3 linked regions of the Astyanax mexicanus genome follow. The protein of the gene in region 3 interacts with the protein of the main gene of each other region in a biochemical or structural test. Links are inferred from orthologs where the notes say so. Each region holds a gene or a part of one and is shown on either strand. Other genes may lie near its edges. The genes, in order: plat, apbb1 and lrp1aa.

The links.
Region 1: the proteins of lrp1aa (region 3) and plat form a complex in vitro, tested with the Homo sapiens proteins (2 studies listed by BioGRID). The link is inferred for Astyanax mexicanus from reciprocal best matches to the Homo sapiens genes LRP1 and PLAT.
Region 2: the proteins of lrp1aa (region 3) and apbb1 form a complex in vitro, tested with the Homo sapiens proteins (2 studies listed by BioGRID and IntAct, with this or other methods). The link is inferred for Astyanax mexicanus from reciprocal best matches to the Homo sapiens genes LRP1 and APBB1.

Annotation. Positions count from the first base shown.
Region 1 is NC_064419.1:209,264-219,511, forward strand, and holds the start of plat (tissue-type plasminogen activator), read right to left. Parts: upstream 4,751-10,248; 5' UTR 4,629-4,750; exon of another isoform or gene 4,619-4,628; intron 1-4,618. UniProt on the Homo sapiens protein: Converts the abundant, but inactive, zymogen plasminogen to plasmin by hydrolyzing a single Arg-Val bond in plasminogen.
Region 2 is NC_064427.1:28,561,894-28,572,527, reverse strand, and holds the start of apbb1 (amyloid beta precursor protein binding family B member 1), read left to right. Parts: upstream 1-6,791; 5' UTR 6,792-6,936; intron 6,937-9,122; exon of another isoform or gene 9,123-9,173; 5' UTR 9,174-9,192; coding exon 9,193-10,006; intron 10,007-10,480; coding exon 10,481-10,634. Other genes in the region: fibroblast growth factor receptor homolog 1-like, read left to right, coding at 2,329-2,440, 3,408-3,507, 4,512-4,611, 4,752-4,856. UniProt on the Homo sapiens protein: Transcription coregulator that can have both coactivator and corepressor functions. Adapter protein that forms a transcriptionally active complex with the gamma-secretase-derived amyloid precursor protein (APP) intracellular domain.
Region 3 is NC_064431.1:17,167,008-17,176,716, forward strand, and holds the start of lrp1aa (low-density lipoprotein receptor-related protein 1), read right to left. Parts: upstream 4,102-9,709; 5' UTR 3,865-4,101; coding exon 3,771-3,864; intron 1-3,770. UniProt on the Homo sapiens protein: Endocytic receptor involved in endocytosis and in phagocytosis of apoptotic cells. Required for early embryonic development. Involved in cellular lipid homeostasis.

The sequences.
Region 1 (10,248 bases), on a different chromosome or scaffold from region 3:
GAGGAAGATGGATGATCACAAACCATCAAACCACCAAACTGAACTGCTTGAATTTTTACACCAGGAGTAAAGCAGCATAAAGTTATCCAAAAGCAGTGTGTACTGATTCAGAAACTGAAGTTTTTTAAAGTTGTATATTTATGTAGATTTTACTTTTCCTCTGTCGGGGGGGGGTATTTTAATCTTGTGTTTGAAGAAACTACATTACAGTAAAGGGTTAACTCTGTTTACTTTAAATATAAAGGATGTGAGACACAGACAGCGTGTTCACCCACTGCAGGAAACATATGGTCACTAAGACATGAGAGTGATCTCACACACACACACACACACACACACAACACACACATAACACACACACACACACACACACACACACACACACACAACACACACATAACACACACACACACTGTGACCTTTCTACAGCTGGATCAAACTGAACATCTGTTTCTTCCTGGAGAAATTTTCTTGGAAAATCCCCCCAAAACTAACAGACCATCACCACCAACCCACAGCGCTCTTCTCCTCCGTTATTCTCTCTCTCTTTTTATCTGTCTCTCTCTATTCTCTCTCTCACACATTTAAAGCTGTCTGGGTTTTAGAGTGAGTAGACAGCAGTGGTATTCCTGAGCCACAGAAACGTCTGAGTGAATTAAATGCCTTTTTTAATTCAGTGGAGAAACTCTCCCACTGGTTTCTGAAGTTGGTTTATGGTCATTAAATAGAATACAGAATATATACACCACAAATATACACAACATACATCTGTGCCTCCCAATGCAAAAGTGTGCGTGTGTGTGTGTGTGTGTGTGTGTGGGTGTGTGTGGGTGTGTGTGTGTGTGTGTGTGGGTGTGGGTGTGTGTGTGGGTAGGGTTAGGGGGGTAATCTGCATCCTGTCTCAGGCTGCAGAAGCAGAACAGAGACACATTGTTAGCAGAGAGCAGAAGAGAGAGAGAGAGAGAGAGAGAGAGAGAGAGAGAGAGAGAGAGAGAGAGAGAGGGATCAGAAAAGAAAGAAAGAAAAACTGCACCAAACAGTGATGGAGCAGAAACACGTGTACAGGAGGACAGCTGAGTCATTCTGTACAACAAAGAACACAGACAGACACACATACACACACTACACACTCACACTACACACACACTACACTCACACACACACACACACACACACACATTAAGTATCATCTTACAGTGCTTTGCAGGCCTGCATTCATTTTAGTGATTCTGCTCCTGTGATCATACAGCACTGTATATTTAACTGCTCTGATGTTTTATATGGTTACAGTGATCTTATTACTTTCTTAACAATTATTCACAATATATAACTATAAGACGAGAATTTATAAGAATTATAAGAAATCTCAGAAACCCTTTAAATCACCCTCTGCATTCCAGCCTGAGCTGTGATTTAGTGATATTTCATCAGTACTCTGCTAAAAAAACATTTCAATTTAATTTACACATTTTTCCATCACCCTCTACTTCTAGATGTAGGGAATGAGCCATGATACACAGCTCTGAAAAAATACGTTTCTTTGATTTTACCAAATGTAAAACCTCTGGAATATAATCAAGAGGAAGATGGATGATCACAAACCATCAAACCACCAAACTGAACTGCTTGAATTTTTACACCAGGAGTAAAGCAGCATAAAGATATCCAAAAGCAGTGTGTAAGACTGGTGGAGGAAGAGAACATGATGCCAAGATGCATGAAAAAAAAACTGTGATTAAAAATCAGGGTTATTCCACCAAATATTGATTATTTCTGAACTCTTAAAACTTTATGAATATGAACTTGTTTTCTTTGCATTATTTGAGGTCTGAAAGCTCTGCATCTTTTTTGTTATTTCAGTCATTTCTCATTTTCTGTAAATAAATGCTCTAAATGAGAATATTTTTATTAGGAATTTGGGAGAAATGTTGTCTGTAGTTTATAGAATAAAACAACAACGTTCATTTTACTCAAACATAAACCTATAAATAGCAAAATCAGAGAAACTGATTCAGAAACTGAAGTGCAACCTTCATTTTTGGTGTGTTTATGTGTTTGACATTTTCAGTACCAGAACCAGACTTAAGACTACACACACTCACACTCACACACACACCTACACACTCACATACACACTCACACACACACTCACACACACACTCACATACACACTCACACACAGACAAAGCTTGCGCAGTAGAGCATGCTGTGAACCTGCTGACTAAAGCAAAGCCTGTAAAGACACTCTCATAAAACACCATCACACACACACACACCAACACACACACACAGACACAGGAATGCAGACACACTTATATGCTGAAGCCCAGGCTGGTATTTCATTATTTATGAGTATTATTTATGAGTATCTTTTTCAGAAACACAGACGCTGTGAATATCATACAGAATTGTCTTGTGATATATCCAGTATTATACTACAGTTAGTTCCGATCCTGCAATGTGATTGGCTGAAAGGCGTTCTATGAGTGCTGTTATCAGCCAGTAATGGCACTGTATCGAAGCTCTCCATGTACGTATTACTCCACCACATACAGGTAACCTAGCAACGATGCAGCAGCGCTTACAAGCCAAACAGCACAGCTACAAACAGAGCAGCAATGGAACTAATTTAACTGACGGAGTTTTTATAACCAAACAGATCCTATTTTCTCCTCCTCTTTAACTCTTTAAAATCTTTCAATAAACAGCGATAATGGAACTGTGGTATAATAATCGCTATAATACACTCAAGGTTTTTGCTATAACCTATAACTGCAGCACAGCAGCGCCGATATTACAGGTTATAGCACGAACCTCGAGCGTATTATTTCTTGATTGCAGAATCACAGTATTGTGATATCACTGATATTGTGGGCAGCATATTGTGATAATAACTCAGTAAGTGGTGGGTGAGATGTTGAGATGAGATGTTGAGATGAGAATGGTCTGAGAAGATCCTGTCCGCACAGTTTACACAGTAATGGGTTCTGCATTCCCTCCCAGAGATAAGAACAGATAGAGGGTCTCATCCCTGATAACCAGGAACACCGAGCGGAACTCTCACAGCAATTACCAGCATTCCTCTCTAAACCAGAGACAGCGCGAGAGAGAGAGAGAGAGAGAGAGAGAGCTCAGGCAGAGAGAAAGAGAGGGAGAGAGATTTACACTGAAAGCCGCTCGCTGACTCACCGCTGAGTAACACAGCTGTGTGTGAAAGTGTGTGAGAAAACAAAAGACTGAAAAGAAAGAGAAGAGAAAGAAAAAGAGAGAGAGAGAGAAAGAAAGAAAGAAAGAAAGAGAGAGAGCTAAAACATGCACTCAAACATCCACACAACAGGCTAAACTGCAAATGCTCAATGAAAAGCATTTAAAATGCAGCACTATGCAGTAGGGGTGGGACAATATACATAAATGTCACACTTCTACTCTTTAGTGATAAAACTCCTGCATCTGGACTGCAATTGAAAAACAGGAGGATCAGTGAGTTTTTAGGCTTTTTTCTCGGTCACATCACGGAGTTCAGTAGCTCCTCCATTTCCACTCGCTCTTGTGTTTTTTTAACGTGGATCTCCATGGAAACCGTGGTGCATCCAAACTGTAATTACGGTGCGCGACAGTGGACAAATATCTATTTTATTAAAGGTGAGGAGACGAAACTCAGAGATGTGCGTCCGGACGGGACTAAAATTACCGGAGGAGCACGGAGTTCAGAGAAAAACAGTAGATAATTCAGCCTGTAATTTTCTCAGAGGACGTCTGAGAAAAACACCTACATGATCGTTCTGGACGGGAATAAAATCACAGAGGATAAAACCCCCCCATAAAAGAAAAAATTACCCAGAACACCCTGAGAAACTAATCCTGACCGGATAGAGCTAGAGAGAGAATTTCTTACTAATGATTTCTGAATGCAGAGAAGTGAAATATTAAATTAATGGTCTTATTTAACTTATTTAACTTTTATACATGTAGTTCTAGATCATGTTACTCCATAGTTTCTTAAAAATGCTCTTAAATACACTTTGCGTGCATATTTATGTTTAAATTGTTTTTTGAAGCAAGTTTGGTTAGTTTGGTTTGTATTCTATGAATGTGGGTCCAGCATAGAACCCCTGTTCTAGAGTATGGTTACAGTAGTATAGAGTATAGAGTATGAGTATAGTATGTGTAGAGTATAGAGTATGAGTATAGTATGTGTAGAGTATAGAGTACAGAGTATGAGTATAGTATGTGTAGAGTATAGAGTATGAGTATAGTATGTGTAGAGTATAGAGTATAGAGTATGAGTATAGTATGTGTAGAGTATAGAGTATAGAGTATGAGTATAGTATGTGTAGAGTATAGAGTATAGAGTATGAGTATAGTATGTGTAGAGTATAGAGTATGAGTATAGTATGTGTAGAGTATAGAGTATAGAGTATGAGTATAGTATGTGTAGAGTATAGAGTATAGAGTATGAGTATAGAGTATAGTTACAATAGTGAGGAGTTTGTTGATGTAACTCTGCGGTATCAGGATCAGTCAGACTGAGCCCCTCCCTCAGATAAACCCCCTCACTGACCCACAGCCAATATAACCTGCCAAAACATTAAGAGCATTAAGAAGACTGATCTCAGACCTGCTCTTACCTTCAGCTCCTTCTTTTAGATCTCAGATCTCAGATCAGCGCAGGTGAAGATCCTCCCCTCTAATCCACAGGTGAGCCGCTCTGAGCGCGCGAGACTCTACTGCTGCCCACAGAGGACCCGCGAGCCTTTATCCCCTCCTGGTCGCGCGCGGGAAGGGGCGGGGCTAGGGCTGATGATGTCGGTGATGATGCAGCATCGTAGGCGGGGTTTTTGGCACGCTGTCCCGGGATAGTGTGTGTGTGTGTGTGTGTGTTTATACACGTTTTGCTACTTTTGTGAGGACCAGATGCACGTTTTTGAGTTGAGTGAACCACAATTACATTTAAACAGAGATCTTTAAGTTGAATCAACTTAATATAATTTAAATGAGTTTAAGCTGCTGCAATTAATCGCTTCTTTTTTATTGACTTTTTGTAAAATATATTTGCACACTGGTTGTGACACCTGAAACCTGTAGATCCTGTAGATCCTGTGATTAACTGCTTGGTCTATATGTTTATATAATATATTTGCAAATATTATTTTCTGAGCTGCTAACTTAACTGTTCAAATGTAAGTGTTTATATTAAAACAAGGTTTAATACAAATCCTTTTAATTAGCTTACACTAAAATTTAGAGGAGCATTATTGTGCAAATTATTTAATAAAACAAAAACATCAAGTAAATTCATTTAATTGTTTAATTATGCATAAAAGATGCTGTCTAATGAGCTGAAGTAGTTCATCATAAGTTAATCAGAATATTTGACCTGTAAGTGTATGTAAAGTAGCCAGAGGAGGAGGGGGGGGGGGCGACTACACACTGATGGTGAATGTCAGAAACTGGTGGTGGAATACACACACAATATGCAAATAGATGGTGCCAGCATCCAATAGGAAATAAGTGGTCAATGGCAACAGACTGAAGTCAATTTTCAAGTTATTTAGTTAAATTCAGTGTATCCAGACTCACAGTGTAGTGATCTGTAATAATCTGTTGGTTTGTGATTTTGCATTTCTTATAATTTTAAAGGGTTATTTTAGTTATTTTAGGAATTTTAATTAGAAAAGGAAAAAGAATAAAATGATTTACTTCTGATCAATGAGGTTAAAGTTAAGATTAAGATTAAGACTAAGGTTGAGGTTAGGTGTAGGTATAGTGTGCATTACCTACAATTATTACTATGTAAATGATAGGTCCTCACAAGAATCAAAAAACACTGCATGTGTGTGTGTGGTGTGTGTGTGTGTGTGTGTGTGTTTGAGTGTGTGTTTGAGTGTGCGTGTGTTTGAGTGTGTGTGTGTGTGTGTGTGTGTGTGAGTGGTGTGTGTGTGTGTGTGTGTGTGTGTGTGTGTGTGTGTGTGTTTGAGTGTGTGTGTGTGTGTGTTTGAGTGTGTGAGTGTGGGTGTGTGTGTGTGTGGGAGGGGTCAGTGTCTCCTCAGGCTGGTACTGAATCAGTTCTGAGGTCTGATCAGGATGTTGGGGGTTAGGGTGAGTAATAGTGTATCAGTGATGTAATGTGATTTATAAAGGATTTGTATTTGTGCCAAACTGATTACCGAACCCGGGAAAAGAAGAAGTGAAGCGAAATATGAAATAACTCCTGAAATTCATGTAATTATCACACTGTGAGCCTGAATAATCTGAATTAATTAAATATTCTCTACTTAAATCATTTAAATTAATGTTAGATGTTGGACCACCCAACTGTTCCAGTTAAAGTTATGTTTATATTTCTATATTTTCCAATATCTTTAAAGAATATATATATATATATATATATATATATATATATATATATATATATATATATATATATATATATATATATATATATATATATATTCATGTTTTAAGAAAACAAAATAATAAAGTACAGTGAGGAAAATAAATATTTGAACACCCTGCGACTTCGAGTATTTAAACACCTGTGAAAATCAATATTAATATTTGGTACAGTAGCCTTTGTTTGCGATTACAGAGGTCAAACATTTCCTGTAGTTTTTCACCAGGTTTGCACTTCAACACTTCAACACTGCAGCAGGGATTCTGGCTCTTTCCTCCACACAGATCTTCTCCAGATCAGCAGGTTTCTGGGCTGAACGCTGAGGAACACAGAGTTTGTGCTCCTCTAAAGATTTTCTATAGGGTTTCTATAGATCTGGAGATGGGCTATAGGCCACTGCAGATCCTTGATATGCTTCTAACAGAGCCACTCCCTGGTTATCCTGGCTGTGTGATTTGGGTCATTGTCATGTTGGAAGATCCAGCCACTACCCATCTTCAGTGCTCTAACTGAGGGGAGGAGGTTGTTCCCTAAAATCTCGTAATACATGTCCCCAGCTATCCTCTCCTCAATACAATGCAGTCGTATTAAGGAGATTTGGGTTTTTTGGGGGTAAACATGTCCTAAACAGAACCAGCTGAGAGTCCTACTGTCGACATGCTCACTCAACACTGCAACTCCTCTAAAACCCCGTCAGGAAGAATAAAACTGCTCAGCGTCTCTGAGAGTAATTCTGAGAGTATTTCAGGCTCTGGAACGTCTCTGATGGGTCTGGTCTGGTCTGCTGTGGGTGTGGAGTTAATGAGACCTGTCTCCATCTCCAGAAGCTCACAGCTCCCGTCTCTGTTTCTGATTAAAAACACTTTAATTCAACAACAGAAAAACCGACTGACTGATCTTATATACCACTGTTAACCATCCCATCATTACAAACCAACCGTGCTCTATTTCAGATTTACTATAAAAGAGTTTTATTATCACTCAGTATCTTAAAATAAACTCTGAAGCTACGTGGAGTTTGGAGGTGTGTAGTGATTGGTGTAGTGATTGGTGTAGGGATTGGTGAAAGTTGGTGAACTCTGTGCACTGTGCTCCTCAGTATCCGCTGACCCTGCTCTGTTATTTTACTCTGCAGAGCACAGAGACGCTGTGGTTCTCAGTCTCTTCCACTGTGTTATAATATCACTGACAGTTGGCTGTGGAATATTTAGTAGTGAGTAGTGAAATTTCATGACTGGACTTGTTGCACAGGTGCTCCTGTATCCTATCACAGTCCGACAGTGCTGGAGTTCACTGAGCTCCTGAGAGCCTGAGATCCGCTCTTTCAATCGTTCTGCTGATTTTATTATTAATCACCTGTGAAGGAGGAGGAGGAGATTCAGGATCACCTGAGATCAGTGATTTATACGGGTGAGTGAATCATTTTGGCAGTATAGTGTAAGTATGAGATATTCTTTATATTATTGGCTCAGAGACGAGTGTTAGTGATGAAGGTTAAATTATCACTGATTTATTCCAGATGGTGGAAACACATTTCTGGGTCATTAACTCATAGACTGCGGTTGTGTTATCACTATGAGCACCAGGATTCTCTAAGGTCTGCCCGAGGAATTTCCTCCCTTTACTGGAATGCTTTCAGACTCATGAGGAAGGATTATTTACGCTGTTTCCACATTTTTATTCCCTTTACATATATATCCTAAATCATACATACCCTAAATCATATATACCCTAAATCATATATATCCTAAATCATACATATCCTAAATCATACATACCCTAAATCATACATACCCTAAATCATACATACCCTAAATCATACATACCCTAAATCATACATACCCTAAATCATATATATCCCAAATCATTCATATCCTAAATCATACATATCCTAAATCATACATACCCTAAATCATACATACCCTAAATCATATATATCCTAAATCATACATACCCTAAATCATACATATCCTAAATCATATATATCCCAAATCATACATATCCTAAATCATACATATCCTAAATCATACATACCCTAAATCATACATACCCTAAATCATATATATCCTAAATCATACATACCCTAAATCATACATATCCTAAATCATACATATCCTAAATCATACATATCCTAAATCATACATACCCTAAATCATATATATCCTAAATCATACATACCCTAAATCATACATACCCTAAATCATATATATCCTAAATCATACATATCCTAAATCATACATATCCTAAATCATATATATCCTAAATCATATATATCCTAAATCATACATACCCTAAATCATACATACCCTAAATCATACATATCCTAAATCATACATATCCTAAATCATACATATCCTAAATCATACATACCCTAAATCATATATATCCTAAATCATACATACCCTAAATCATACATACCCTAAATCATATATATCCTAAATCATACATATCCTAAATCATACATATCCTAAATCATATATATCCTAAATCATATATATCCTAAATCATACATACCCTAAATCATACATACCCTAAATCATACACATCCTAAATCATATATATCCTAAATCATATATATCCTAAATCATATATATCCTAAATCGTATTTATATTTTCATATGCAGTAAAATATGCAAAGATCGAACACATATACTGTTTAACAGGTTTGGGCTGCAAAAAACAGACTCACAAATCCAAAGTCACTTCTACAGCCCTGACTGTAAATAAGGATACATATAGAATTGAGAAGTATAGAAATCGTTATGATTTTTGAGATGTTTGAATGAATTCAGCTACTTTATGTTGCATGAATTACTGACACAGATGTGCACAGGTTTTGTCAGTAGAATAGATTTATCTGGAGAAGGTCTCTCTGGAATGGTGGAGCTCCATCCAGCACTTCAGTTTGGTTGGGTCAGTTGGGTATTTGTGGGGGTAAAGTGGGGGTGTTGCACTGTAAAAATGTTCATAAATGTTTACAAAAATGTAAATAGAATAATCATTTTTTTAGGTAAGATTACATTTATTTACAGCGATTATGTCTCAAGTATTTTGAGTTAGGTGAACGTTTGACATCTTTGCGATGGAAATGATCAACTGGACCGAGAATGCTCCATGCTAACAAACAAAACACCTGCAGTGATGCTGAATTTACTCATTTCTCTGACCTTGATGTTTCTCATTAATTACCTGCAGCTTTGTCAGATTGTCAGATTGTCAGATTGTCCGGCCTCAGTGTTGGTGGCTTTAAGAGCAAGTTACCTTTTTCTGTATATTTTGGATTTCCTTAACATTTTAAATAAGCAGTGTGCAGGTCTTTACAGTGTAATAAACAGTATATTATATTAATAAAAGTGATAAAATGTAAATGTGTGTCACTATCAGTTTTCATGAATATGTAATATACCCACAGTAATCACAGTGTATTTAAATGATTGAATATCTGGTGCTGCGTGACTCAGGCGTGTTTATATTCAGGACTACTGCCCTGTATCATCCTGCAGTTCACTCACTAACAGGAAGCTGTGGTGTAAACACACTCCTGTAGTTAGGGGTGTTTTATCCGGACGTCACTTCACCATCAGCGTCACGCTCACCAACAGACAACGACACACTGCCCAACAACACCGTCACCGCGCCGCCTCCCTCCCCGTCACTAACACTAGTGATCAGACCGTCTCTCAGATGTGGAAATGTGGGAAATAACTGTGATAAATGTGGGATGATTTGAGTTAAATATCTAAATGCTTTCGGTTAAGTTAGACTGAGTTGTTTTCTGGTGTTTATTTAGTGGTCACCAAATCAGACCAACATTAATTAAATACCATGAAGATGCAGCTCATCCAGATTCCAGA
Region 2 (10,634 bases), on a different chromosome or scaffold from region 3:
TGCATTTTTTTCTGATCCTCCTGTCCAGAGGTACAAACCTTACCGCGAACAAATTCTGGACCAACAAGCACCCAATTTAAAAATGAAGTAGTTGTTGCTAAGAAGTGGCGAGAAAACCCCCGAATGTCTAGAGAATTCTTTTCATTGCAGCGTTTATGAATGGCATGGCAGGCTCTATCAACACAATATTGTGGCGTGGAACAGGAAGGAAGACCCGTGAGACTCATGCTGTACGCTCAACAGCTCCTTTATTGAACAGGCTTGCCACTCACTTACAGCCTTTAACAAGACTAGGAGATCTAAAACCATCCCCACAGAGCTCAAATAGCCCAAAGGCCACCAACCCAGCTGTGTGTCTCCCAGATGGCAGATCCAGAGTGGTGCCCACCCTCTCTGCATAACCCCTCCCAAGGGAGATGCCCCACCCCTGTCATCCTCGTACACAGGAGAACAGAAACATGCCTACAGGCAGCCACACACACAACCCAGAGCCGCCACAATATATAAAAAAAAACATCTTTAGGTTCAGCTTTTCTGTTATTAAACAGTTTAGGATTGCATTACAACATTTCATCTACTGTTTTATACCAGTTTTGTTACAAGTACAATTTTTATGCCTTTTGCTCACCTGTAAACAAGAAAGTGAAGCAGACACACTTTGAGAGAGTGTTGCAGGATATTGGTTCACGATCACATTTGTGCTCAGCGCCCCCTAGAGGTTTCAGAATGAAACGGGTACAATAAAAAGCCAAGGCATGAATATTTGGATCTCCTTTTGCTGTACTTATTCTGCAGCTGATTGTTGCTTTACAATGCTACACTGACCACTTACACACTAATGGAGAATTATTGGTTTCAGCAGTTGGTTTAAACTAAGCTGACAACAGTTGAGAGAAAGGTTGGATATAGACCCACACAACTATAAATTATGAAAACGTTCAAGTGTTTCAGTCTCCCAGACATCTTGGTTGCATTAATAATTCGAAAGGGTCACTGAAAGGCTGAACGTCTTCTGAGAGAAACCACAGCCAGGCCTAAAGTACAAAGTCTGGTTTACATTCTGGCCTCTGTGAAAGTTAGTAGGAGGTTATAAGTGGGGGAACGCTCAGAAGCTATCGATTCTGCATAACAAAACATCTAAAGAAAACATAGGAGTGGGCTTAGATGTATTAACATGTTCCATGATGAGATGAAACCAAGATTTGGCCACAATTTTAAAAAAGTGCTACATTCAGACATAAACCATCCCCGATGTAAAGCATGGTGGTGGTAGTACTATGACATGAAATATGATTATTTTAAAATGATTCTGGAACTAGTATTTTTTAGAATACACTGAAAGCACTAACTTTTGTAGAGTTAAAGAGACTTTTAATAGACATTCATTGTTATGTGCATTGCTGTGAGGATTTGATTGTATTCAGCAACAAAAAATTAGCACCTGGAAATGGAGTAAAGGTGCTACTAAAGGTCTACATTACTACATCTATGACAGCTATAGGTGGTTGTTAATCTGGGAATGGGAAGAAGGTATTGATTCTGCAAAACAAAATATCTGAAGAAGACACAGGAGTCTGCTTGAATGTTACATGATGAGTTACATGATTTTTTTTGCTAAATTCAAAATGATCAGAAAATGTTATACATTTAGAATGATTGTGGAACTATTTTAAGAAAACACTTTGTTAGAGTAACTGACTCTATTGTCCAGTTAAAAGAGGTTCATGTTTATCTACTTCAGAAAGTCTTATTCTATTGGCGTACTAGACAAGCTGTATGTGTGCATTAGCACAGACTGTGACAGCAATGGGTGGTAGGGTATCTATGAAATAGTGACACTTATTACTGTTTAAAAGTTTGGAATCAGTTTTCATACTCTACAGCGAGTCAAAGCCGCTATCGCCAGCTCTTCTTCTAATTGTGGTGGCTTAGGTTATTTTAGTTCGTTTTGTTTAAAAGGTCACTACACTGAGCTAGACAACAAATGTGGCTATATGTTGTGTTTAATACTTCAACAAGTTGTTAATGAATAAACAAGACACTGTAATTATTTGTGCACAAATACAAATAATTTTACATAATGTTAAAAAATGGCTACAAACAACTTTTGAAACATCTGTAGGTAAATATCTTAATATCTTCTGTTGTTTTTGACAGTGGCATAAATGTGGCAATAAATATATACTGATTAGAAAGTATCATAAAATGTTCCATGGGCTGAATGCTTGTGCAAGGAAATGCATGAAGGGCATAGTGTGGTCAAACATACTTCCTGCAGCTTGTTTTGACTGTGTAGCATCCGGTTGTGGCTTCTGTGTCCCCCTGCAGGAACGTGTTCCCTCCCGGTGGTACCCTCCAGAGTACTTCAAGAATGATTTCTATGGATTCAAAGGGGATGTCTGGTCATTTGGGATTGTATTATGGGAGATGCAAACATTTGGTAAGTGTCCTTAAATTAAATTAAGTTAAATTACACTGAATGTGAGAAGAATAAATGCACCCAGAAGGATTTTACCAACAACAATGAAACTGGGTGTGTAGATGTACCAGACTATCATGGAGTGCCATGGACTTAGAATGGCAGCAAATCATCTTCAGTCCTTCACTAGTCCTGCTTAAGTCTTGTTTGAGACCCTACCAACAAATTCATGTGTTTTCAGCATGACAGTGTTCATCCACATACTGGTGCCACCTAAAAATACCATTGGGCTTTCTATGAATACTTATTTTTAATTTTTTATCATTTATTGTTTCAGGTAACCTTTAACTTCTTTCTGAATAGAACTGAAATCAACACTTTCATCTGAGTGCTATTTTTTAACTTAAATGTACATCTCTGGAAAAAATGAAGAGACCACTTCAGTTTCTGAATCAGTTTCTCTGATTTTGCTTTTTATAGGTATATGATTGAGTTTGAACATTGTTGTTTTATTCTATAAACTACGGACCAACTGACTCCTAAATTCCAAAAAAAATAAATGTAATTTAGAGCATCTATTTGCAGAAATTGCTGAAATAGATGCAGAGCTTTCAGACCTCAAATAAAGCAAAGAAAACAAGTTCATATTCATAAAGTTCAGACATCAGTATTTGGTGTAACAACCCTGTTTTTTAATCACAGTTTTCATGCATCTTGGCATGTTCTCCTCCACCAGTCTTACACACTACTTTTGGATAACTTTATACCACTCCTGGTGCAAAAATTCAAGTAGTTTAGCTTGGTTTGAAGGCTTGTGATCATCCATCTTCTTCTTGATTATATTCCAGAGGTTTTCAATTTGGTAAAATCAAATAAACTCACAATTTTTAAATGGTCTCTTATTTTTTCCAGAGCTGTATGTTATTTGTATCGTCTTTGCTATGTCTCTACTAAACTGCTATAAATAACCCTAATTTACATTCCTCAGGCACTTTGCCGTACCCAGACTTGAACACATCGGAGGAAGTAGCACGCTTTGTGTGTGCTGGCCACAGAAACAGTGAGCCTGAACAGTGCAGACCTGAAATGTGAGTGGAAGTGAAGAGGTCTTTTCACACCTCTCAGTTAAAAACATATTATGGTTTCTACTGACATTTAAGATGGGGTTGCTTTTGCACCACAGCAGTGGCATGTGCTAAACTCCTGTTGAGTCTGGATACATGCAGAACGACATACATTATATGTCCTAATGTTTGTGGACACCCTTTCTAATGAACCGATTCAGCTATTTTACTTTTGCACTCATTGCTGACAGATGCATGTACATGTGTAGATGCATAATACCTCATTTCAGGTGTGAATATTTAGCTGTGGAACATAATGTGGAGATCTGTGCTTCATCCAATACTTTCGGAATGAGTTGAGTGTGGTGGTGAACATCCAACTTTCTGACTTCACTAATGCACTTATCAGTGAATGCTATCAAATCCTCACAGCAATATTCCAAAATCTAGTCAAAATCCTACTTCTCTGGATGTTAGATACAATTACTCCAGCAAAGATTTAAGCTATTTGTAAAACTCATGAGTATTCTGGGATTATTTGTTTGTGCATAAGTGAAAACAGACCCTGCTACTAAAATCAGCAAGCTGCGTTTAAGACATACATGCAAATATGCACTTAGGTGTTGGCAATATTGCCCTAAAATAATATCACAATATTTGTGTCGATATGACAAAACATTGAATTAAAATAAAATAATTTCAAGAATACACTGAAGGAACAAAATTAATATTATTGCATATGTCACGATACTAATAATGCACTGCATATATCCAGGACTGAATAAAATAAAAGATATTGTACAGATATAATCTTTCTCTAGTAGATATTTATTGGGAAATGAAAACAGTGTACATTTTCCTTTTGCTACAAACTGTAAAAAAATGTTTTACCCTCATGGCCAATATGGCTCTAAAATAATATCACAATATTTTAGGGTTTTTGTGATGATAATATTGCATATGATTTGATACTTTTGTTCAGTGTGGTTTATGTAATTCTGTAACTTTCTCTGTAATTTGCATCGCAGCCAACAAATGATGATGGACTGCTGGCAAGAGCCTTACTCCTTAAGGCCTTCCTTCATGGACATTGTGGGAGTTCTGGAAAACATTCTTGAAAATGATCGTGTGAGTGTCCATCAGACTTATTCTTTGTGGCTTTTGTCATAATATAGCATAATATTTATTCTTAATGTTATTCCTATGAGTGAATGAACTGCAGTACGTATATTAAAATAAAACATCACATATTTTCTTTGTCTTAACAGGACTATGTGGACATAAATGAGAGTAGCTCGGTGGAGCCTGTAGCTTCAGATACTGTAACAACATCTGAAGTGCATACAGTGTATTGTAATGAAAGTAAATGCTAGCTCAGCACTGTTAATCAGGTTAAAGATGTGGATTTAACGAGTATAGGGGAAAGGCTATGGTGAAGCCACTGGAAGCCACTTTTTTTAAAAAGGGCTTGTGTGTTTGTTTAAATATTGGTATTGTTATTTAAAGACTGGCTGACTCCAGAGGGGGGCAGGGGGGAAACAGTGTCCTAAAGCAGGGCTTTTATGGCTTTTAATGGTATTTATGACTTTTCCATTCTCCTAACACACCTGACTCAACCAATCAGCTCATTAACAAGCCACTTTAGAGTTGCAGTGGGTGTGTTGAAGCAGGCAATTCACTAAAATATGCTGTGCAGGAGGGTGTCAGGACCAGGATTGAAAAACTCTGTCTTAAATGATGCCCTTTCCAGTAGAGACAAAGGTACACCGTGCTGTATAGGGTTCTACTATACTATACAAGTGTAAAAACATGAGTTATAGAGAATTTTTTCATCAGTGAATTAAACATGATCTAAGGATGTAAATACATAAAAAGTACACTGTCAAAGTTAAATATAGTCTGTAATAAAATAAATATATTATTTTACCCTGTGTGATGTCTCATTTTTGTTTTTTACAGTTTAATACTACAATGTGAGTTTGAAACTGCTGTTTGAAGATAAAATATTTACATAATGTTGTGATATAGGAGATTAGGTTGATGTTGGAAGACAGAACAGTTGTTAAGACAATTCTGTGATAGTCACAGATTTGAAATAGATGGCATGCTGGTGTTACAAATGAATACTGATACTTAACCATTACATTTTGTTTAGATTTTCATCATATTATATCATATATAATATATAGTATCATATATCACAATTTATCTTAAGCATAATGAGATATGAGATTTTACCAGCTTAAATGTCCACAAACATTTGGTCATATAAAGCATGTGGAAGAGCAGTGAATAAGATTAGTTAAAGAGAGTAAATAATTTGTGTCAGTATCTTAAACAACTACAACCCTTTCATTTAATCATTCAAATAAAATAATTGCATCACTCCACTTCATGCATTAGCAATCAGTTTAGTTGTAGTACACATGGCTTTGTATAGACTACAGTTCAAAATATAATGCTGCAATAAAAACTGCATTTTCATGAGAAAAGAAACTGATTTTAAACTAAAAGTAGCATATTGCATTACTAAAAAAGAACATTAAAAACAAATTAAAAACGTTTTTTAAATAAAAGAAAATAAAAAGAGCAGCATATTGTGCTTTACTTCTTATGCAAAAAACGACAAATCTGAGGTATAAATACTGCATTACTGAAAAAAGAGACTCTAAAGACGTTTTTAAAAACTTAGAAAATAAAAGGAGATAGTGATGCATATTGTGCTTTAATTCTTATGTAAAACAAACCGATTTAAATCTACAAACCGATTAAAAAACTACAATCATGAGGTACAAATAGTGCATTACTGAAAGAAGAGGCTCTATACGTATTTCAACCTTAGAAAATAAAAGGAGATAGAAGTAAAGCACAATATGCTGCACTAACACAAAACAAACTAATTTAAAAATACAAACGTATTTAAGCGCATAACCACGAGGTAAAAATAGTGCATTACTAAAAAAAACCTTTAAAGACTTATTGAACACATTAGAAAATAAAAGAGATTACTTCTAATGCAAAACAAACTGATTTAAAACTAAAGTTACAAACCGATTTAAAACTACAATCTTAAGATAAAAATAGTGCATCACTAAAAAAAGAGGACCTAAAAGCAAATTAAAGCCGTTAAATGAGATACTTCTAATACAAAATAACTGATTTAAAACTACAAACCGATTCAAAACTACAATCCTGAGGTAGAAATACCGCATTATTAAAAAAAAAACAGGCCCCTGGTAGTTGACGCCGCTTTGACGTGGGCTGTGTGACGCAGGCGGAGGCTAGCGGAGCAGCTAGCGCGGTTAGCCCCGCTGGTGCAGCAGCGCTGTGAGTAAGAGCGGAGAGCTGTGAGCTGTGAGCGGTGGGCGGCGGAGGAGGTGGAGGACATTTTTCCGCTTCGCTTTGCTGGATTACACGAGCCGCTGGATATTAATGAGTCGCTCTGGATAGAAGGTGAGTTATGGTGGTCGCAGTGTTTGGTTTATGAGTGTAAAAGGCGGTAGTAGAGGCTGGGTTAGTGCGGTTGTTCGGTAGTTAGCGGGTCGGGGTGTGTTTATGTTGTGGGAGTGAGAGGAGGGGGGGATCATGGAGGGCGATGCTAGTAGCGAAGGCTATGAAGAGATTTGAGCCGATATTACTGACTGTAGTTACTGAGTGACGGTGTAAAAGTCGTGTTTTAATTATTCTGATATCATGTGATATTTCTGGGCTTGTATTCTGGTGGTCTGAAGGCTGTCGTTAAGCTAACGTTTAGCTAGCATCCAGCGCGAGCAGCTAAGCTAACTTAGCTAGGTTAAGCTAGCTCTAACCAGCTGTAGCTAGGTTAGTTAAGCTAAATGCGCAGCTAACGTTACGGCCCAGCTTAGCCGAGTCGCTACACACAGCTGGGACTGCGGAGCTTTATAGCTGCTGGCTGTGTAAAGGCTGCTGTGCGGGCGTTGTAACTAAAATTGTTATATTTCTAGTGATATTTTGATTATATTAATAGATAATGCCGTTTCTGCTTGTGTAGATATAGGTTAGCATATCTAGATAAAAATAAGGTAGGTCCAGTCACACTGGCTACATGGGCATGTAACGTTACTCATCCACACATTTGGATGGATACGCACCTAACCTAGCTTACGGGTACATAACTAAGTGAAGTTACATGTGTCCATATACATATAGGTAGATTTTTACAGTTTATTTAAAACAAACACAGAATATGAATAAAATACTGACACATAAAACATACAACAATATTATTTTACCTCAGTCAATCAGTGACATTACATAGTAATACTAGAGACCCTGGCCTGTGGGAAAACTTAAATTCCATTGCTACCCGGAGCGGCGTCTGAGTTTCAAAAAAATAAATTGTAATAACTGGCCTGGTTTTGGCTAAAACAGCTCGCAACAGGTGAAACCTATTAGCTAACCAGATAGAGGTGTGAATTACCGAAGGGATGAAGGTTATGACCAGTTAGAGAAACCTGAACAATTTATCTGTCTATCATTAAGTACGATACAATAGGTTAATTATCAGTGTTCAGTGTTAAGTGTTCTATCAGAATAAGATGAACCTTTTTTTCCGCTCATTCATCTGATATTGAATTGTATAAAAAAAAAACAGTCTGTTTTTGTAGATGAGTTAGCCTACCATCTCAAATATTTACTATACTAGCTCAACACTGTCTGCTAAGGGTGCAATTAATTATTATTTTGGTAGTTGACTAGGATACAATGATTTAAAATAAAAACATTTATTTTACCCATACCCTGTCCCTCTGCTTCCTGTAAGTATGGCTCATGTTCCTAGTTTTCTCTATCGCTTAAAAACAATAGAAACAGCAGGATGTGGGATTTAAATGCCCGTTAGATGCTCAGAAGCCATTTTTGGGCACTTTTGGGGACCCAAACCAAGTTGAGTGTAAACTGTGTAAGTGGACCCATTACCCTTGCCCATTGTATTTATGTCCACAGCATTTTGTGTAGTGCATTGCAGTTAGTCAGCACATTTTTATAATCAACATTTTAGATTTAGCTGATTAATCATTGCAGTCCTAGTGTCTACCCTTCTCACAGTGTGTAGTGTGACAGTGTAATTTAATTTATGAGTGCAGTATACCTGTTGTAACCTGTTGTAAGGGGGATTCCCTTGTGTACTGTACCTAAATGAGAACAGTACTCACCACCCCAGTTGGGTAGTAAGTTAGTTATTAATATTACATTTACTAACTTAATAAAAACCTTAACAAAGTATTACGTTAAATTATCAGTTTTTATTTGTAAACTCTATTAAACTGTGTTTGGTGTCATCCCTCCAGAAACCATTTCCACACAAATTAACCATGACCCAGTAGAATACATAAAAACTTAATGGTACACACTAATACTTCTCTGGGTACCAGGTCAAGACAAGAGGCTCTATTTGTAATGTTAACTGTGTACAAGTACACAGTGGAGCAAACCAACAGTCCCCCAGGACCATGGCGGAACAAATAGCAACACAACAGCTATACAGAACAATGCACAAACAAAGAGCAAAGAAACAATACAATAAATGCAGTAAATAGAACAGACCATGCAATTAGCTGCCATAATTTTGCTTGACTATTGGCTTAGGATGTTGTTCTAAATAAATTCTAATGAAAGTTGTTTTCTAATTTTTTTCTGTGGTTATTCACTCTTCTGGCAATCTTTTCCAGAGGCATCCAGCTCTGTGCCATGTCTTTAGAGAGCTCTTCAGACCTGGCCAACGAGAACACCTGTTTGCCCCCGTCACTGACCCTTGACCTGCGCTGCCCCCACAGCACTCTTTTAGACACAGAGTTAGGCAAAGCTAAAAGCTCCTGTACCTCCTCTCCCAAGAGCCGCCGTATCTACGCCAGCACCACCCAGTCCCAGCTTCTCAACGGCATCATGGGCGGACTGGATGATGAAGCTTCCCTCCAGCACCGTGAGGAGGAGTGGGCCAGGAATCAGGAAAACGAGCAGGGTCACCCTGTTCCAGGGAGCAATGCCAAGTGGATGAAGGAAGGCCAGAACCAGCTGCGCAAAGTAGCAGAGAAGCAGCAGGACCTAAACAGAAACCCGGACCAGAACCTTAACCTGGTCGAGAACGAAAATGAAAACGAAAGCCCCGACATGAACCCCAACCGAAACTCCACGCTTGGGGTGCAGGGGAGTGATGTGGAGAATAACAAGACCCTGGAGGTCCTATGCTCTGACGTAGATGTTAGGAACACCGCCAACGAACCCATTCTGATTGATACCTCTGAGGCCCCCATAGGCAAGGAACGAGAGAATGAGAATGAGGAGGAAGAGAAAGAAGAAGAGGAGAACTTCCCTCCTGGCAGTGGAGAGAAGGACACAGACTCCTCTGAGACACAGAGCTGCAGTGAGTCGAGGAAAGACAGTGAAGGCGGAGGGAGGAACACATGCTTACTGTTCAGCAAGAATGGAGCTAGTGATGAGGACTCCAGCTGTATGTCTCTGTCTCAGGGGAGCACTGCCAACAGCACCCCTGATGGAGATCCAGGTAGCTTGTCTCAACCTGCTTCATGCTTGTCTTTACAGTTGATCTATGGAAAGACTTATGCTTATAGTAAAGTGTGCATATTTATTGAAGATTGGTCATTACCTTGTGAACATTTTCACGATTTCTGTGAAGCAATAGAAGTAGTTCAGAATGGTGTTAGCCTAAATAAACCTTGTAATGCGAATGAAAGTTTAGCACACTTTCTTCACAAATGGAAAGCTGTTCCTATACTGTACTATAATAACATTTTATAATACTGTATTTTGTGTAATAAAAGCTTGTTTTGGCCATTTAACTTTTAGTCAAAATACTTTAAAGCATGACCTGTTTTTTGTTTTGAAAGTGGCAGTTTGCTGAAATGTGGATTGGCAAAGTTGTATATGAACATCAGTGCCTACTACAGCAGTTCTAATTACTCTGTGTTTTTGTTTTTTTCCAATGCCACCCCCACTACCATCTGGTGTGGCTACTTAGAGTCTTATTGGGACCGCAGCGCGTTCGAGACCGACACAGACCTGCCAGCCGGTTGGATGCGTGTGCGGGACACCTCTGGGACCTACTACTGGCACATTCCTACAGGCACCACACAGTGGGAGCCACCTTCTCCCCTAGAGGAAGGTGCAGCCCC
Region 3 (9,709 bases):
TCAGAAACAGACGGACCAAATCCAACACTGGACAGTCAGCAGAGACTCAGACCCGTCTAAAGCACCCTAAACAAAATAACAAAATAAGAGAAAAATAAGCTTTAGTTGAGAAGTGATAAAGTGTGTCAATTATTATACTGGTATTATCTTAACAGTACAAAATATCTTGAAACAATTATATTTGTGCAACATAACCAGACTGCAGAAACCAATAAGCAGCCCAACACACCAGCAGGCTGGTAGCCCAAATGTTCTACAACCCAGCAGCCCAATGGTCTAATGGCCCAACAGCCCAACATCCAGCAGCCCAACTGCTCAACAGCCCACTGGCCCAACAGTCCAGCAGCCCAACTGCTCAACAGCCCAATGGCACAACAGTCCAGCAGCCCAATGGCCAAACAGCCCAGCAGCCCAACGGCCAAACAGCCCAGCAGCCCATCGGCCAAACAGTCCAGCAGCCCAATAGCCCAACAGCCTGGCAGCCCAACTGCTCAACAGCCCAGCAGCCCAACAGCCCAATGGCAAACAGTCCAACAGCCCAACTGCCTGGCAGCCCAACTGCTTAACGGCTCAGCAGCCCAACAGCCCGGATGCTAGGGCTGCAATGATTTGTTGATATAATCGACAATGTCATTGTTAATTTGTAACAGTACTACATTACAAGTATCTTATTACACAAAGTCCTGGGACAGAATCTCAATGGAAGATGGGTGAATGGCTCACTCACACAGATTACAATCAACTTTTTTTTAGTGTCTCCAAAATTGCCCAAACACAACAGATTACATATTTAATCCCAAAATATCAGTACTTTCTGCGTTTAAACAACATCCAGCATTTAAATGTCTTTTAATTCCCATATTCAACTGTTTCTATTGTTTTTAGAGATGAAGAACATGGCAGAAATATGTGTTGACTAATCAACAAATCGAAAAAATAATAATCAGATTAGTCGACTACCAAAATAATCATTAGAATAATCATTAGTTGCAGCCCTACCAGACACCCAACAACCCAAAAGCCCATCTTTCATAATTGCTAGTTAAAATTCATGTAAACTTCAATATAATTCGTAGTGAAGGGTAAGCAACTAGTCTGAGGCAGGTGGTATAAACTGTGGAGGAGATGAGGTCTTACAAATACTCAGGAGCGAGCCAATTTAGGGCTTTATATGACATCCTGGCAACCCAACAACCAATAAGCCCAACAGCCTGGTGGGAGTGGTTCTCACTTCAGATTAAATAAGGATTAAACTGTTCTGATGCTGCTCTGTTCTGGGAGAACCATTGGAGAACCAGCTATGCCAGCCATGTAAAAAAGCATCACCAGGGGCTGCTGCAGCCAAGCAAGCTATACTGAATGTTCACATTATACCAGAGTGAAAGAGAGAGAGAGAGAGAGAGAGAGAGAGAGAGAGAGAGAGATCAGACATAGGTCTAAGGTTAGAGGTTATGTGGAGGTCAGTTGGATTCTGACTGTTCTAACTTAAAGCACTAAGAATCTGACTCTGATCCTCTGTAAATCTCACAGAGTTCGCTTTCTGGTACTGACTGAACCAAGCTGAGTGAGGAGGTTTCTCTCTAACCACTGCGTTTAGACAGTCTGTATCCCACAATCCCATTCTGTTATAGTTGTCTGAGCTCCTCCCACACAGTCTGAGTTTATACAACTCTCAGAATTTACCTTTACACCAATCTCTCTCTCTCTCTCTCTCTCTCTCTCTCACACACACACACACAAACGTCTCCACAGCCAGAGCTGGAGGGGGCACACGGGTTAATGGTTTCCAGTGGTTTGAGGATCTGGCAGGGCACAGTGAGGCAGACTAAGGCATAGGGAGGCACATTCAGGCACAGTGAGAAATAATGCAGCGAGGCACAGAGGGGCACAGTAAAAACACAAAGAGGCACAGCAGGGCACACTGAGGTACAGCTGGCCACAGTAAAAACACAGGTAGGCACAGTGAGGTACAGTGGGGAACTGTGAAAACACAATGAGGCACAGTAAATACAGTGAGGCACAGCAGGGCACAGTAAAAACACAGTGAGGCACAGCTGGGCACAGTGAAAACACAGTTAGACACAGTCGGGTGCAGTGACAAAAAGGACACACAATGTGGCACAGTTGGTGCAGTGAGGCAAAGGACACGTAATTAAGGAAAGAACACATAACGAGGCTGGGCACATTGAAAACACAGTGAGGCACAGCGGGGCATATTGAGTCACAGTAAGGCACACAGCTGGGCATAGTGAAAACACAGAAAGACAAAGTGAGGCACAGATGGGCACAGTAAAAACACAGTGAGGCACAGCTGGGAACAGCAAAACACAGTGAGGCACAGTTAGACACAGTGAGGCACAGCTGGGCACAGTGAAAACACAATGAGACACAGTGGGGTACAGTGAAAACAAGCCACAGCTGGGAAAAGTGAGGCACAACAGGGAATGGTAAAAACACAGTGAAGCACAGCAAGCTTAATGGTGTACAGCGGGGAACAGTGAGGCATAGTGGGGCACAGTGAGACAAAGGACACACAGTGAGGCACAATACAGTGAGACAGTGTGACACACCGGAGCACAGTGAGACAAAAGACACAGGGAGGCACAGTTTGTTACAGTGAAGAACAGGAAGGCACTCTCCTTTAAGTGTTCTAGAGTTGGAACTCCTTTCAGATTTTCTTTAGATTTTCTGAATATTTATGATGACTACTGGATGACCACAGCAACTTGAAGGTCAGAATGGATCAGCAAATGAGACCCAAACCATTTTAACCAGGCAGATGTTCTGTTTACCTGTTTGTCTGTTTACTGTTTGGCGTCCCAGGATGAGATAGCATAGTTTTGCTCAAGAAATGAGACAGACATTACTTCACAGTATGAAAACACACTTAAACACACCTTCCACAACAAGCTAAAAGAGAGAGAGAGAGAAAGAGAGATAAAGGGCAAGACTCTTAGTTTAAGCATTAAATTAATTATTAACTGATTTAGTAATCATTTCATTTTCACTATTGTTTTTTATTTCTAATTTTACTCTGTTTTATACTATATATCAGGATTGCCATTTCCCCAGGATTGCCATCACCAGGAGGGTGAGGACGAGTGAGATACTTGTGAAGTCAGACCCCGCCTCTATTCCAAGTGTCTCCAATTACTATACGAAGCATCACAATGCTCTTAGAGGAAAGCGCCGGATGCCCAGCTCTGATACATCAGCCAGTGGAAGCCTGTGCTGGCCAGCATCACAATGGGAGTGATGAATTGAGAGAGCGCCACCTACTGTAGCCACCTAGAAATAGCATGTCCTACGGTCCTCTCTCAGACTCCGGCTGCAGATGGAGAAGCAGCAGCAGCATGACCATCTCAAAGCTGCTCGTGTGGATTTTATATTGTTTATATATAAAATATATTGTTATATTGTTTTTTTTGTTAATGTTGATGTGCTTTAGGACAACAAAAGTGGAACTATACACTGACAGCCCCTCTCGAGAATAACACTAGAGTGGGTTACTTTGTGACATCACAACAGCAACAGATGTGTGTGTGTGTGTGTGTGTGTGGTATGCGTTGTTTAACTACAGTCTGATTAAAGTTCTCCGCAGTGGAGTCTGAACCAAACCGAGATGAACTAGACTATAAGCCTCTCGCTGCAGAACCGGGAGAGAAGCGCGAGCTCACTGCGCACAGAGAGCAACAGCTGCTGCACGGCGAGTCTCCCCGCGCGTGCCGAGAAAGCAGAGCGCGCGAGAAGTTGAGACCCGATGTACTCACCGTCCGCAGCGCGCGGGGGCTGCACCTCCAGAGCGCGCAGGAACCCCAGCAAGATCAATCCCACCGCCGCGCCCGCGGGCACGCGCAACATCATCCGGCTCGTGCAGTAAAACTACAGTTCAAATAGCCTGAAGGAGCTGCGAGCCTGCAGAACCGAACCCTCCAGAAGAACGCAGCAGTCTGGGCTTAGCTGTCCACTGTCCCAGTCTTCCTCCTGCTCCTCCTCCTCCTCGCGCGCCGCCGCGTCTCAAGGTTTCTTCATGCTTCAGAATCCGGGGAGCAGAAGCGCGAGCGGCTCAGACCGTGCCCTCACCCACACTGACTCTCTCTCTTTCTTTTTCTCTCTCTCTCTCTTTCTCCCTCTCTCTCCTTCTCGCTCTCTTTCTCGGAGCTCAGGATTCAGCCAATCAGAGCAGAGCGCGGTGAGAACAGAAACCGGGAGCAGTCATTCCTCCTCCAGGTCGCTGGGGGCGCTGCTGATCTCAGCCTGCAGATGTTTTAAACACAGCTGATCCGGTTCTGTGAGAAAAGGAGGGAGAGTTTGGAGGAGAGCAGGAGATCTAAGTTAGACTGTCCAGAAACTTCTGCTACTCCCTTCCTCCTCCATGTTTCCTACTGCTTCTCTACTCCTCCACATTTTCTACTGCTCCTCTCCTCCCCTTTTTTGACATTTCCTACTGTTCCTGGCCTCCTCCACTTTTCCTACTGCTACTCTCCTTCTCCTCCTTTCCTACTGCTCATTTCCTACCAGGTGGAGGAGAGGAAGAGGAGGAGGATCAGTAGGAAAAAGCAGTATAATGTGGGGTTTCTGGATGCAGGTCAGGTCAGGTCCCTCTGACTTTTATAAACACCAAAAGATCACAATTGTATTCTGGGTTCTGGCTGTGGAAGTTAAATAAGCACCAGCACACTTCCCTTACTGCACAACTATATATCATAAGTGTGTGTGTGTGTTTTGTGATGTTTTCGAGACTCGAGAACTTTGACTACTTGGTTGGAGAGAAATTATTAAATTTATACTCTTTGAACGTTGTCAGAACTGCAGCTTTGGGTCACTTGGGTCACGACTGCCCCTATAAACACTCCAAGCGTGAAAAAGATCCATCCATCTGTGAATTAGCTGAAAGAGTTTGGTCTTAGGAGTTTCTATGGGCCATTTGGTTGGCTCCCTTATTCTGATGTCACAAAGAGGAAACTTAGCATAGAACCACCCTCGCACTAGCTCTCAACATCAACTTCCACCAGAGCCCCACCCACTAGATCAGTTAAAGATCTGACATTTTTTACATTTTGGTTGAAATTAAGAACCTCAAACAGTACACACAGGATTTAACCATCCGTCTTTTTCTGAGTGAGGACTCTATACCTACTTCTCTGTGGCAGGTCAGCAGACAAGGAAAAAGTAAGTGCTGTCAAATGATGGGTTTTTGTGTTTCTATCACAGTTAAGCATGATTTGGCTTGTTTGAGTTTTGCAATTTAGCATAAGCTAACGTTTGATAAACTCTCAGCATATACAAGGCATAGCCTAAAAGTGACAGAGCTGCTCATTCTGAAAGGGGCTAAAACTGGCAATAATAAAGCTAGTGAAATATCTTTATGTGAGAGTGATTTTGTGCCCATAGACCCAACTTTCAACTTGTACAAAGTATGTGTATAATATGTATAATATGTCCTCTTTACTATGTGTATTTTCCTGTAACTGTGGATGTTTGTAGCTCTGCCACATCTCCTTTCTTATGCAGAAATCCTAAAGTACGCTATAGCAGCTGGATCTGCATGTTGGACATGCTCACAGTTTGTTGGACTGCACGTCAAACAGTTCATCCGTGTCTTGGGATGGACTGTAACTCGAACATGGGGATCTCAGACAATGCGCTGTCATGGTTCAGATCGTACCTCACTGGGCGCTCGTTCAGGGTGTCATGGCAAGTACCCAGCCCACTCGTTACCCAGTGGGGTTCCCCAGGGTTCGGGACTGGGACCTCTTCTCTTCTCAATATACACCACCTCTCTAGGTCGGGTTATCCGCTCACATGGTTTTTCCTACCACTGCTTTGCTGACAACACTCAGCTATACCTGTCTTTCTCACCAGATGATCACTCAATCTCTGCACGAATATCACAGTGTCTCTCAGACATATCCGCATGGATGAAGGAACATCACCTCCAACTAAACCTCTCAAAGACTGAACTTCTGGTCATACCAGCAAAACCTTCTATTCAACACAACTTTGCCATAACCATCGACTCTCTCTCTCTCTCACCGACAAAGGTTGCTAGGAACCTGGGTGTCATGGTTGATGACCAGCTTCTCTTCACGCACCATGTGGCCTCAGTTGCTCGATCCTGCCGCTTTGCGCTTTACAACATCGGAAAAATTCGACCGTTTCTGACGCAACAGGCCACCCAACTCCTGGTACAAGCTGTGGTAATCTCACGCCTCGACTACTGCAATGCCGTACTAACTGGCCTCCCGGCCTGTTTAGTAAAACCACTACAGATGATTCAGAATGCAGCAGCACGTTTGGTCTTCAACCAACCAAAACGGGCACATGTCACTCCGCTGCTCATTGAGCTCCACTGGCTACCAGTTGATGCTCGCATCAAATTCAAAGCGCTTACAATCGCCTACAAGGTGATGACAGTACAGGCTCCTTCCTACCTGCACTCACTCCTGAAGGCTTACGCTACCTCCCGGCCGCTGCGCTCCTCCAATGAACGTCGCCTCGCTTTACCAAACATTCACACAAAGCAATCCAGACTGTTCTCATACAGAGTTCCCCAATGGTGGAACAAACTACCTTCCACTACCAGATCAGGAGAATCTCTCACTATCTTTAATAAACTCCTGAAGACAGAGCTCTTCAAAGAGCACTTACTCTCCTAACACCTCTAACAAACTAACTAATTCTAACCTCATCTCCTTCTTCCTCTTCTCTACTCCTCTATCCCATTATTTCCCTCTGACCTCCTTAAGGCCCTATCTATAGATGCTTTATTTTTAACTTCTATTATTTTTGTACTTAACCTCTTCTATTATTTGCACTTCAATATTGTAAGTCGCTTTGGACAAAAGCGTCTGCCAAATGTAATGTAATGACTGGCTGTAGGGAGGGCCGGGACAATTCCTGGTGGGGGGGTGGCTCTGTGTGTGGGCCTCCAAAAGAGTTAAAAATAGAACCTGATTTACATTTTCTAATATTGAATTGTGCATGACAAATCCCCAACAACACCCTGTTGCTTCCTCTAGCATAAAACGTAATGTAAAACAGCCTTAAAAAATAAAAGAGAAGAAATGAGTTTAGTAATAATGCACAATGAAGAAAGCATATAAAAAGCTCAAAGGACACAATAAAAAGTAAATACCACTGAAAACCACATAAAATGGCCTAAAAATGCATGATTTGTTCAGCTGTCAGCAATATACAGTAGAATATGAAAAATGTAGAAAAATAAAGCTAACCCAGCGTTCAGAGATCATTAGCTCTGTTAGCTAGCATGCTTAGTCTCAAATGACACATGTTCCCTACTTTTTTAAAATGACCAAACATATGGTAGTGCAACTACATACTTTTTGAGGTGTATGCAAACATACTATGAGCGCCCCCCTCTTTTTTGATGTGTATTATCAGGGGCGTTGCCTGGGTATGTAAAAATCCGTGGCTCAGCCCAGTTAATTATATTAGTTTATTAGCTGATGAGTTGGATCTGGTGGAAAACATACAATTTTAGGGCGGAGACCAGGGTTAAGAAACTCATTTAAACTAAGTATAGTACTAAATCCTGGCTATCCACAACATCCAGCTTCTAGCTAACTGGTTAGCTAAATTTATTTTCTTTAATTATAGCTTTGAGTAATCCTGCAATCCTAAATTAACAAAAACAATTTTAAAATGAAATAGTTATTGGTCAGGTACATCAGGGCAAGTTAAACATATATATAGTTTCATTTTCTCAAACCTTGATCTGTGTTTTGATTATACTAGCCCACCACGCTCTGCACTCCTCACTCCTCACTAATATTACAGCTGAGCTGAGTGAAACGATTCGGGGCTAGTGGAAATTTACTCGGGGCTAAAGCCCCGGAAGCCCAGGGCAGGCGACGCCCCTGTGCATTATCATACATGAACAAACAGCTCTTACAGAAAATGCCGACTAGAATTCATTTTCCGGCATTGATTTGGCACCCCTTCTAGCGCTGCGTACCCCCTTTTTGCACCACTGAGTGGGCTGGTCTAGATGTAAGTCCAATGCTGAATTGAATTCTCAGTCCCACTGTGACACCTGTAGATCTACTGGACACTTATTACCATGTTTCTGTTCAGCCTGACCACAAGTATAGCTGGTGTTTGGGTAGAGAGCACTGGTCCAACCTTGCTTTACAATGGCCTAATCGACCTCCACCCCCTTCCCCTTCCTCACCCGCACAAGCTTGGGCCCCCTTTCGCGTGTCGGACTGCCTGACATTCCTCAACTTTCCTAAGCTTATTAGGACGTCTGCAGCTTCAGCAGTTATCCCTCAGTTCTGCTGTGGCTTTCGCTGTTCTCCCGGATTAACCTGGTGAGTTCTGACACAACAGGGTTCCCTGTTCTACCAGTGTCCAGTAACTTAGGGCGTTTTCACACCTGTAGTTGGTTTGTATGGTGCAGATCAGTTGATGAGTTTGTTTATTTGGAGAGTTTTCTCCCTCTGTTTGGTTTGGTTTCACACAGGCATAAATCTAAACTCACCAAAATGTGCACCAAAAAACCGCTCAAGCACGCTGTCTCCTCTAATTGGTCAGAGCTGTCTGGCGCATGAGCAAGAATGTAGATGAAGCAACAAGATTCTGTGTACCAGCGCAAGTATATGTGTGCAGCGTGAAGCTGCTTTAACACAGAACTCTGAAAGTTTTAGCACATGTACACGTAGTAAACTGAGTCATATGGCTGCGAGTAGTGAATGCAGCACAGACCGTGCACGGAAACAACACTGAACAGAGACAGCGTTTGTTCATAGCTGTGGTAATTAGAGTTATCTGGCTAATAGGTCAGATTAAACTGTGTCTTATCAGCCGTTTAGCTAAAATAAAAGAAGTAAGTTTGATAGCTGGGTCAGATCGAGACCTGATCACGTTCTCACCACAAGTGAACCGCTCCAGAGTTCGTTTAGGACCGGACCGAGACCACCTCCACTAACTGGTCAACGGTTGTCTTGATCCACATCAGAGTGCGATTACTGTTTTCACACCTGCTCAATCGAACCGCACTAAGGGTATAAACAAACTAGAGTCCGTTTTAACCAAACCAAATAGTGCTGGTGTGAAAACGCCCTTATAGAATTCTTGCCGAGATATTGACCAGTTTACCTATCTGGTCTGGTCCTGAGCTTCAACATTTGGTCAGATTGTCTCAAATATTTCCTTCAATTCCCACCAATCCCAAAAACAATACGTAGAACCAACTATTTTCAATCACATTGTTCTTGTGGTGGTTCTACGTCAGGGTGTCAAACCCGGTCTTTTACTGCTGCTGCCTTTACTGAAGACCTGCCGTGGCAGCTGCCACTCAAGAAGGGTCTTCCAGCTGGAGGGAGTGCCAGGATGGAGCCACAGCTAAAGGACAGTGAGCTGTCAGTCATCAGGCCTGTGGGAGCATCTTCAGTTCAGACTTTGTTTCGCATCACTGAACTAATGGCTGAGCAGGTGCGAGTACTCTCACTTCACTTCAGTTCTGTCGGAAACACAGCAGTCCTAGACCCAATCCCAATCCCATTTCTCTTTTGTACCTCTACCCCTTGTTTTCGAGTGTAAACCTTCACCTGTGAAACATAAAACAAGGGGAAGGGATGAAATTCTCCCTCCTAAGAATTGAGACAACCCTTCAAACACCCGATACAGATATACATAGCTATAGAAGTGAAGCGGTAAAGTTCAGCAATTAACAAGCTAATTAACA